Cricetulus griseus: one gene and its partner. The protein of the gene in region 2 interacts with the protein of the main gene of each other region in a pairwise test. Links are inferred from orthologs where the notes say so. Each region holds a gene or a part of one and is shown on either strand. Other genes may lie near its edges.

What was found.
Region 1: the proteins of Gsk3b (region 2) and Bcl2l12 interact in a two-hybrid assay, tested with the Homo sapiens proteins (2 studies listed by BioGRID and IntAct). The link is inferred for Cricetulus griseus from reciprocal best matches to the Homo sapiens genes GSK3B and BCL2L12.

What each region holds. Positions count from the first base shown.
Region 1 is NC_048599.1:153,883,066-153,887,881, forward strand, and holds the start of Bcl2l12 (bcl-2-like protein 12), read right to left. Parts: upstream 2,956-4,816; intron 2,285-2,955; exon of another isoform or gene 2,034-2,284; intron 2,030-2,033; 5' UTR 1,842-2,029; intron 1,349-1,841; 5' UTR 1,341-1,348; coding exon 1,234-1,340; intron 1,146-1,233; exon of another isoform or gene 1,134-1,145; coding exon of another isoform or gene 1,072-1,133; coding exon 929-1,071; intron 1-928. Other genes in the region: Irf3 (interferon regulatory factor 3), read left to right, coding at 2,991-3,248, 4,407-4,578, 4,669-4,739.
Region 2 is NC_048597.1:51,927,418-51,931,700, forward strand, and holds part of Gsk3b (glycogen synthase kinase-3 beta), read right to left. Parts: intron 2,405-4,283; coding exon 2,294-2,404; intron 1-2,293. UniProt on the Homo sapiens protein: Constitutively active protein kinase that acts as a negative regulator in the hormonal control of glucose homeostasis, Wnt signaling and regulation of transcription factors and microtubules, by phosphorylating and inactivating glycogen synthase (GYS1 or GYS2), EIF2B, CTNNB1/beta-catenin, APC, AXIN1, DPYSL2/CRMP2, JUN, NFATC1/NFATC, MAPT/TAU and MACF1.

The DNA.
Region 1 (4,816 bases), on a different chromosome or scaffold from region 2:
AATCCAGGCTAGCCTTAAGCCCACAGCAATCCTCCTGCCTCAGTCTCCCAGTGCTGATGATAGCAATGCACCCCACACCCAGGGCTATTGATCATCATTAATCAAATATTAATACCCCTTCTTACAGTCTTTCTCTGCTACTTTAAAACAAGGAGCAAGGAGGAGAAATAATTTGCTCAGTCAGATTACCAACTAGCCAATGAGCTGTGGTTAACAACCATGGCTCCTGTCTTATGTGCTAGGGTACTGGGGCTACACAGAAGTCTTCCCTAAGAGCCAGGGAAGCACTATGTAAGGAAAGATGTAATTAGCTAAGACGGGTACCAGAGCACAACCCTCAACCCTCCAACCCCCACCCCTCACCCCACTGGCCAACCACAGAACTGACAGGTAGAATTCTAAGCAGAAATCTGGGCAGTGGTGGCTCTTTAATCCCAGCATTCGGAGGCAAAGTCACGTGATCCCTGTGAGTTTTCAGCCAGCCTGGTCTACTGAATGAGTTCCAGGACAGCCAAACATACCCAGAGAAACCCTGGGTTTCTTTGTCTCAAGAACAAAGAAACAAAAACAAAAATGAAATCTAAGCTGAGGCTCTAATGATGCATGCCTGTGATTCCAGTATAAGGTAGGCTGATGCAGGAGGGCTCCAGCAAGTGTGACTATGCCTAGAAAGAAGTCTAACAGAGGAGGGGAATAGTTATGGCTTGTGCTAAAACTGAGCAGTGTTCTGGGGGTGGGGGAGGGAGAGGGAGAGGGAAAGTACATGTGAAAATATTAATAATTTAATAAAAAAAAAAACAAGCCAAAATAAAAAAAAAAAAAAAAAAAAAACTGAGCAGTGTTCACCTTGCAACAGGTACTGTCTGGATTTTCCTAACCAAAGCTCCTACCCATTAAAGCTTCACAGGTGATCTGGATAATCTCTTACCAGGCTGGGAGCCATAGCAGGGGCGTAGGGGAAGGAAGCAGGGCCGAGAGGACTCCAGGGGAGGGGCTCCTCTCCCAAGGGGACAAGGAAGACATCTTCGGAGGCGGCTCAGGAAATCTGTTGGCTCCTCTTGGGCAGGGTTCCTGGGGACAAGAACCTCGGAGTGACCCCATGGAAGATCACTCTTCAAACTCGAGATAGGCATATGGGGTCAGATCTGAAAGGAGACAGGCTGGGACCAGTACCAAGACTCAGGAAGACCTTCCAGTCAAAAGCTGGCCCTGGGGGAATGGACACTCACTCACCTGGGTGGAGTTGGAACAGGGGACCCAGCAGCTTCACCGCGCCTAAGGAAGGCAGCCAAAACCCTAAGTGTGTCCTCTCGGAGCCCCAGATCTTCAGAGCCGGCCATGGAGGCACCTGAGGGAGAAAACAGAGCATGAACCCAAGTGTGGTGACAAGCTCAAACTTCTGAGTCCCTGAATGAACAGGGTGCCAGAACTCGGGAGACAGAAGGCTGGTCAGTGAGACAGAGTTGATTCCGTGGAGGAAAAGGGGGCTGGAGAAAGAAGGGTTTAAGACAGGAGGTAGCTGAGTGCTTAAACTCCTACATCCAGGAGAGGGAATGGGGTTTGGAACTCTCAGCCCTGAATGCTGAAAGATGCACTCATCCAGGTATCTAAGTCCTTAGGGGATAGAGAACTACCAATCCCAGTACGCTCGGCGGTACACATTGGCCCGATTTCCCCGCTTTTTCGCCGAGCAGCCTGCTGGGAGATGTAGTTCCAACTACCTTCGGCTAGCACCAGAGCCTCTGGGTGCTCGGACTCAGAGAGGCAGGACTGACTGTGGCCGCTCGTGCAACTGGTTCCCTTCCCTTTCTGTTCTAGTCCCTCCCTGGCACCCCGCTCACCTGGTTTGGGGCTCTGCTCTAGTCGCGCCGGCGCCGGCTCCCACGGTTTCACTCAATTTCATCAAACTTTTCTTGGTAAATTCAACTTTCCCGCGCCTGCGCACTGGGCCGACCTGCTAACCGCCCCAACGTTGAAGGGGCGTGGCGTTGTGTTGCAGTCTCATTTGCATATGGCGTTCCCAGCATGCCTATGGGCGGAAGTCCAAAAAAGGGCATTGAGAGAGTTGGGTGGCGCCCAGAGGTGCTCTCTCGGCTTTTGCGTTTCTTACCCAAATTATGAGAAAATTGTTTTCATCCCAAAATATCGTTAGAAAAGACAGTCCCAGCGCTCGGAGGCTTAGCTGACAGGAGGGGAAGGGTGCGTGGCTGCGAGACTCAGAACCACTGGGAGCCCTGAAGCCAGTGTTGGCCCCGGCGCCCCACGAGCGCGCGATTCCTCCCCGGTAGGTAACGCGGAAGAATCGGGAGGGTGGCGGCCTCAGGAGCTCGGCTACCGAGAACCAAAGGGCCGCGCGATGAAGACGCAGGCCTGCAGTCTCTCAGCACTCGGGCTGAAGGTAGCGATACTGCTGGAAATTCAAGGCCAGTCTGGACCTCAGGATGAGCTGCAGACTAGCCTGGGCTCCTGGATAAGTTTGAGGCTACCTTTGTTTACAGTGGAATCCGAGGCCAGCTTGGGCCACACAGAGAGTCCCAGGCCAGTTTGGGTTGCAGTTGAAGACCAGCCTATGCTACGTACTAAGACCCTGTCTCAAAGCATCCATAAAAAGAATATAGAAAAATCAAAATAGAAGAAGCCTGGAAACAGGCGACTGCACTTGAGAGAATACTCTGGAAATAAGCCAGGGTTTTCGGTGCAAGGGAACTGTGGGTGAGGGAGCAGTCAGTCTTGGAAAGACTAGGGAAAGAGGGCTCCACCCTAGAAGCGGGGTACCTGCTTTGGCTAACAGAGAAGGAACTGATGGGTAGGTACAGAGTTTCTACCGAAGACGGCCCCACTGGCTATGAAAGGGCGGAAGGGCTTTTCCGTTTGTGCCCCCACGAAAGCATGAGTGAAAGATTTGCGCCGTGACGGGTCAAGGAGGTTTCAGTGCGTTTGCCCCTTGACACGCAGGCTTTAGGAACTGCCCTGTGTGCGCAGGCCCGAGCATGGGAACCCCGAAACCGCGGATCTTGCCCTGGCTGGTGTCGCAGCTGGACCTGGGGCAGCTGAAAGGCGTGGCCTGGCTGGATGAGAGCCGCACTCGGTTCCGGATCCCCTGGAAGCATGGCCTGCGGCAGGACGCCCAGATGGCTGACTTTGGCATCTTCCAGGTGCTGGGGGCCAAAGACTTTGAAAGACTTTGGAAGACTTTGGAGAGGCGTTCCTGGGCGTGGCTAGGCAGGGGCGGGGTCTTGCTAATGAAGGTGGGTAGGACTGGGAGGGATAGACAGGAACGGATCAGCAGATTACAAGACTATAACCCGGAAATTAAGTTTGGATTGCTTAAGGACCGGCTATAGCAGTGTTTCTCAACTTGAGGGTCTCAGATCAGATTTTTTTTTTTTTTTTTTTTGGGTTTTCGAGACAGGGTTTCTCTGTGGCTTTGGAGGCTGTCCTGGAACTAGCTCTTGTAGACCAGGCTGGTCTCGAACTCACAGAGATCCGCCTGCCTCTGCCTCCCGAGTGTTGGGATTAAAGGCGTGCACCACCAACACCCGGCCAGATCAGATATTTATATTACGATTCATAACAGTAGCAAACTACAGTTATTAAGTAGTAACGACAATCATTTTATGGTTGGGGTCACTACAGCAGGAACTGTATTAAAAGGCTGCAGTATTAAGAAGGTTGATAATTACAGCTGCAGAGGATGGGAGATCTTTGGGGGTGGGCTCTTGATTTTAGAACCCTTAAATCTTAAGGTCTGAGAATGCCTTATGGATGGAGTCATTGACATAGCATGGACTAGAGGTAGTAATAGAATGAGAGACTGGAGCCGGGCGTTGGTGATACACACCTTTAATCCCAGCACTCGGGAGGCAGGCAGGCAGATCTCTGTGAGTTTGAAGCCAGCCTGGTCTACAAGAGCTAGTTCCAAGACAGCCTCCAAAGCAATACAGAAAAACCCTGTCTCAAACCGCCCCCCAACAAAAAAAAAAAAAAAGGCTTGAAGGCTGAGAAGGTGGCACAGTTTGTAATCCTAGCACTCTGGAGGCATCAGCAGGAGTTCAGCTGTGTAAGAAACCCTGTTTCAAAACCAAAAAGGATTTTGTTTTTCAAGACAGGGTTTCTCTGTGGCTTTGGAGGCTGTCCTGGAATTAGCTCTTGTAGACCAGGCTGGTCTCCAACTCACAGAGATCTGCCTGCCTCTGCCTCCCAAATGCTGAGGATTAAAGGCATGCGCCACCACTGCCAGGTTAAAAAGGATTTCTTTTGGTGCAGGAAATAGTAGATAAAGATGAGGATGGAAGGTGTAGGGGCCCAGTCTCAAACCACAAGATGGAACATGGTGGGAGGTGTCAGGACCTAAAGGCAGAGTCTAAGTCGTTTCCCCTCCTATTCTGGAATCACTGGTTTGTCAGGCCTGGGCCGAAGCCAGTGGTGCCTACACCCCAGGAAAGGATAAGCCAGACCTGTCAACCTGGAAGAGGAACTTCCGGTCAGCCCTGAACCGGAAAGAAGTGTTGCGATTAGCTGATGACAAGAGCAAGGACCCTTTTGATCCTCATAAAGTGTATGAGTTTGTGACTCCAGGTGTGTGTAACAAGGCTGGCTTGGGATCATAAAAACCTTGGGATCAGGAGGCCCTCTGCCCTTCATTTTACTTACCCTTTCTCTGAACAGCAGCAAGAGACTTTGTACATCTGGACACCTCTCCTGATACCAATGGCAAAAGCAGTCTGTCTGATCCCCAGGTGAGGAGGAACCAGTCCTGTACCTCATCCTTGCCCTGTCTGTCCTCCCCAGCCCCAGCTTTCACCCTCCACTCCTT
Region 2 (4,283 bases):
ACCTCGATGCACCCTATCCTCCAGAACTATTAGGCCAAAATAAACCTTTCCTTCATTGAGTTGCCTTTGTCTGGAATTTTGTCAGAGCAACCAGAGAAATACCCTTAAAACTTTAAGAAAACATACCGATGTAACACCTTCAATATTCTATTTATTCCAAGGCCAGTGTTGTGACTCTTTCCCTTCGTTACTTCCTTTCTTCCTTATTTATTTATTTACTTATTATTTGTTTACTTATTTCTTAGTTATTGATTTATTCATTTTTAATCTCTTCCAGGACATACTACTCCTGTTGTATACAAGCTGGTCTTGATCCTGTCATTCTTTTGTCTTACTCCAAATTGCTAAGATTATAGATATGTACCACTACACTCAACCAGATTCATTTTAAATTTTTTCTACATGCTCACTTTCTGAGCTCTACTCCCTGATTAACACCATGGAAACAATTGCTGCAATGATTCCAATCAAAGACACAGTGTCTGACTAAGGAAAAAAAAAAAAAATGAACAGCCAGACAATGGTGGTGTACATCCTTAATCCCAGCACTCAGGAGGCAGAGGCAGGCGGATCTCTGTGAGTTTGAGGCCAGCCTGGTCTACAGGGTGAGTTCCAGGACAGCCTTCAAAGCTACACAGAGAAACCCTGTCTCAAAAAACAAAAACAAAACAACAAAAAGCCAATAAAAAGATTAAAGGTCAGCTGAGGTACTGACAAAAGACCCTGTCTTTTCTGGATATATTGTTGGGGACTGGCATTATTGAAGTTCACAGGAAAGCCACTTTTCTTTAGAAGCATAATGAAACTGCTAAGGCTGGACATGTTAACAGTACATGTTTAATGTGAATCTGAAATCAAGCTATGCAAGTTAGAGCCTTCTTCAAAATGAAGCATGACAAAAATGTATACCTAAGATCTTCAATGTCAACATTTTCTAATTAAATCAGAAGTAAAGCATTTAGATACCTATTAATCTTTTTAAAGGCTTTGTAACTATTATTGTATCATTGTTCATTTACAGAATCAAGTTTTAAGTTCCAAAGCTTACTCTGGTAGCTGAATTCATTATCTCCAACCAAATGATCTATAACCAAGAGAGTTCATGGGCATCAAAGGAAAGATTTAGCTGTTTCAGGGTATTAATATTTAGATTAACAAAACTCGGTGAAAGACATTTTCTTACAAAAGATGTCCTTAGCAGTTTAAGATTCATTTAAAGATATCTCATCACTGTTCTTTTCATTTGTCTTGGAAAAGTAAAGTTTAAGAATGAAATGAGACTGCATCTTTTTTTGGGGGGGGGGCCTTTGGTCTACTTTATAAAAATGTACTTTTATGAAGAAAGTTGAAAGGCTTCCTGCACTACAATGAGCAAAAGAACAACAGCACCAAAAACAACCAACACTGTGCTGGGTACCATCCTAAGGCTTGTGTTTAAAACTGACAAGTTTAAATTTGTACAATGAATGTAATAAGTGTCTACAAATGGTAATAAAGCATTAAATAAGTATATTAATAACTGTAAATTTACCTAGTAGGTTCCTGCTTTGGTGTGTGGCACAATGAAGACATCTAAAACTAAAATGATGTTATGGGGCTGGGAGATGTCTCACTGGGTTAGAGTATTTGCTGCACACACACGAAAACCTCAGTTTGGATTTCTGGCACCTGTGTAAAAAGGTGGGACTAGTTGCACTTGGCTGTTACCCCAGCACTGCATGGGGAGGGAGGTTCAGACCAGCCCAAGTCATAAGCTTATGTAAGAGGCCTTCTCAAGGCAAAGGTGGGAGGCTATGGGGAAGGGAGCACATCCTCCTCCTCTGGTCTTCACTTGTGCCTCACCCTGCACCCCACACACAAGGTGTTATGGCTATCACAATTAAAACCCCTAACCATGAAAGTTTAACTGCATCTTATCAGAATATCCATTTCAATTCACTTATCTCATGTGCATGTGTGTGCCAACATGATGTGTCTGAGGTGGGGCACATAAAACCTGGCATGCATGTGGAGGTTTAGAGGGCTCTATAGAGTTGGTTCTCTTCTACCTGTATGTACGTCCCATAGAACTCAAATGACCAGGCTTGCACAGCAAGCACCTTTATCCACTGCAGAGTAATGAAGGCTTTAAAGGGAACTCTATGTTTCAAAATCAAGTCAGAACTAACAAAATCTAGAGTTTGCTGCTTCTCTGAGGAGTAAAAGCAGTGTTGACAAGTTGAAACAAACCCAATACTCTGCGTGGTTCATATTAAATGTTTGGTAAACTGGAAGTCGTTCCATTGTTACACACCTTGACATAGATCACAGGGAGTGTCTGTTTGGCTCGACTATAGTGTCTGGCAACTCTATACACTGTTTCCGGAACATAGTCCAGCACCAGATTAAGGTAGACCTCATCTTTCTGAAAGAGAATGAAAGAACAACAACAAAATTAGAGACTGATCTTACATATTCAAATTAGAGTAAATTCTCCATACACCCACTTATTTTTAAAGAAAAATTTCATATGGTTCATTTTAATTATACAATTACTTTTGAACATAACCAGAACTGTACAAATGCATCTACCACACTTTATAATCCCGGTATTATTAAGATTCCTATCATGTGCTTATGCATGTGTTATAAGTTTATTACTTGTCATATCTTTTATTATTTTATAGGCTGAAAAACCAATGTCTCCCCTTAAATCAGGAAAGACAACCTGACGACAATGCGGAGTTGCTACTAGCCTGACTCTGCTGCAGATTGCTATGTATACATCACAATGTGCCTCAGCTTCAGCTTCTTCCACTCCTACAAAGGGCTGAGCTACGTATTCTTTGAAATGCTTTAACATCTCCACAATGTTCCTGTTTGCTGGACAGTCTAAAATTTGTAGAACAATCACTAGTACACAAAACAAAACTTATGGCAAGGAGATCATACTCACTGGCTTATCAAAGGCCTAGGTGTCAGTTTCTCTTTGTAGCATCATAAAGACAGGAATTCAGTGCCAGTCAAGAGAAACAAGAGGACAAAGCACTAGCCACACCCTGTTCTCTGAACAGCGCCAGTTAGGTAAACTGAGGCAGAAAATATAGCTGAGGATTACTATTGGCTACTGAGTGGTAAAACTGCAGACCAATGATCAATGATACTAATTCTAACAAACCCAAATAAATGACTTGTGTTGGGGCTCATGGAGTATCTCCTACAGGAGGAAAGTGGGTGCACGTATAAAGTTACCAAGCGTAACTCATTCCTCTACACCCCTCTCTTTGAATAAGGTGATATGTAATTTCTGCAATAACAATTCTAGTATTGCTGAAAAGTTCAAATCTAGTCTCCTGAGACTCAAAGCAAACTATTAGCTATGAGCTCTGGAAAAATCAAAACTAAGTTACATACTTTCAATACAACAGCGGGACAGGCACAGGTTAACATCCCTGTTGCAAGGGGAAAGAATAGTACAAAACCAAATTCAAACAAGGAAAGGATTAAAATCTTAGACCTAGGGTATTCAACCCCCAACCCCCACCACACCTTTCCACAAAGTTATTTTCAGGCTGTTAAAGGCCTTACCACAACTGACAACCTGAAAATACAGCTGATATCGGCCAAATCCTCTTAAGTTGTGAGTTAAAATAATTTACATTGTTTTCCACAGGTTATTTTTTGTCACACCAGTGTTTTGAAAGCTAACGCCATGTATGATTTCATTTATTAGAATTTGAAGAAACAAATGTCGACAATGGTTAAGTAACAAATGTAAAGGTGTAGCCAGACTCTGAATACAGCAAGGAATAGTGAGTAAGTGGTAAATCAGTCTAAGACATAACTAAACACATTCACAAACAATTCCCAAATGCGCTAACCAAATACAAGTACAGGAGATACGCTTGAAGTGTCTCATTTTACCCAGCCATCTAAAACTGACACCGCCAGGAAGAATGGCTGAAAATGGAAGACCAAGTACGAACTGTAAGGCCTCTCATAGGCCATATTGATCTACTGAACTCTTAACGTGAAATTTAACCTTATAATGAAAACTCAGAGCATCAATACACAAAGACAGATCAGAAAAATCAAGAAACAGGACAGCCATTGGGAAAGTAAATGACAGGTGTAACTGAACAAAGCTGAACAGGAATCAACGAGATACTTCTAATGAAATGAAACACATGAGGCTCAGAAGAAGGGCTAGGCTCAGATCAATAAAGACAATTCCACTCTGCTCTGTATCGTTCAGGTCTCATTACAAAACAAAGTACTGACAAAAATCCCTTTTTAGGTTATAC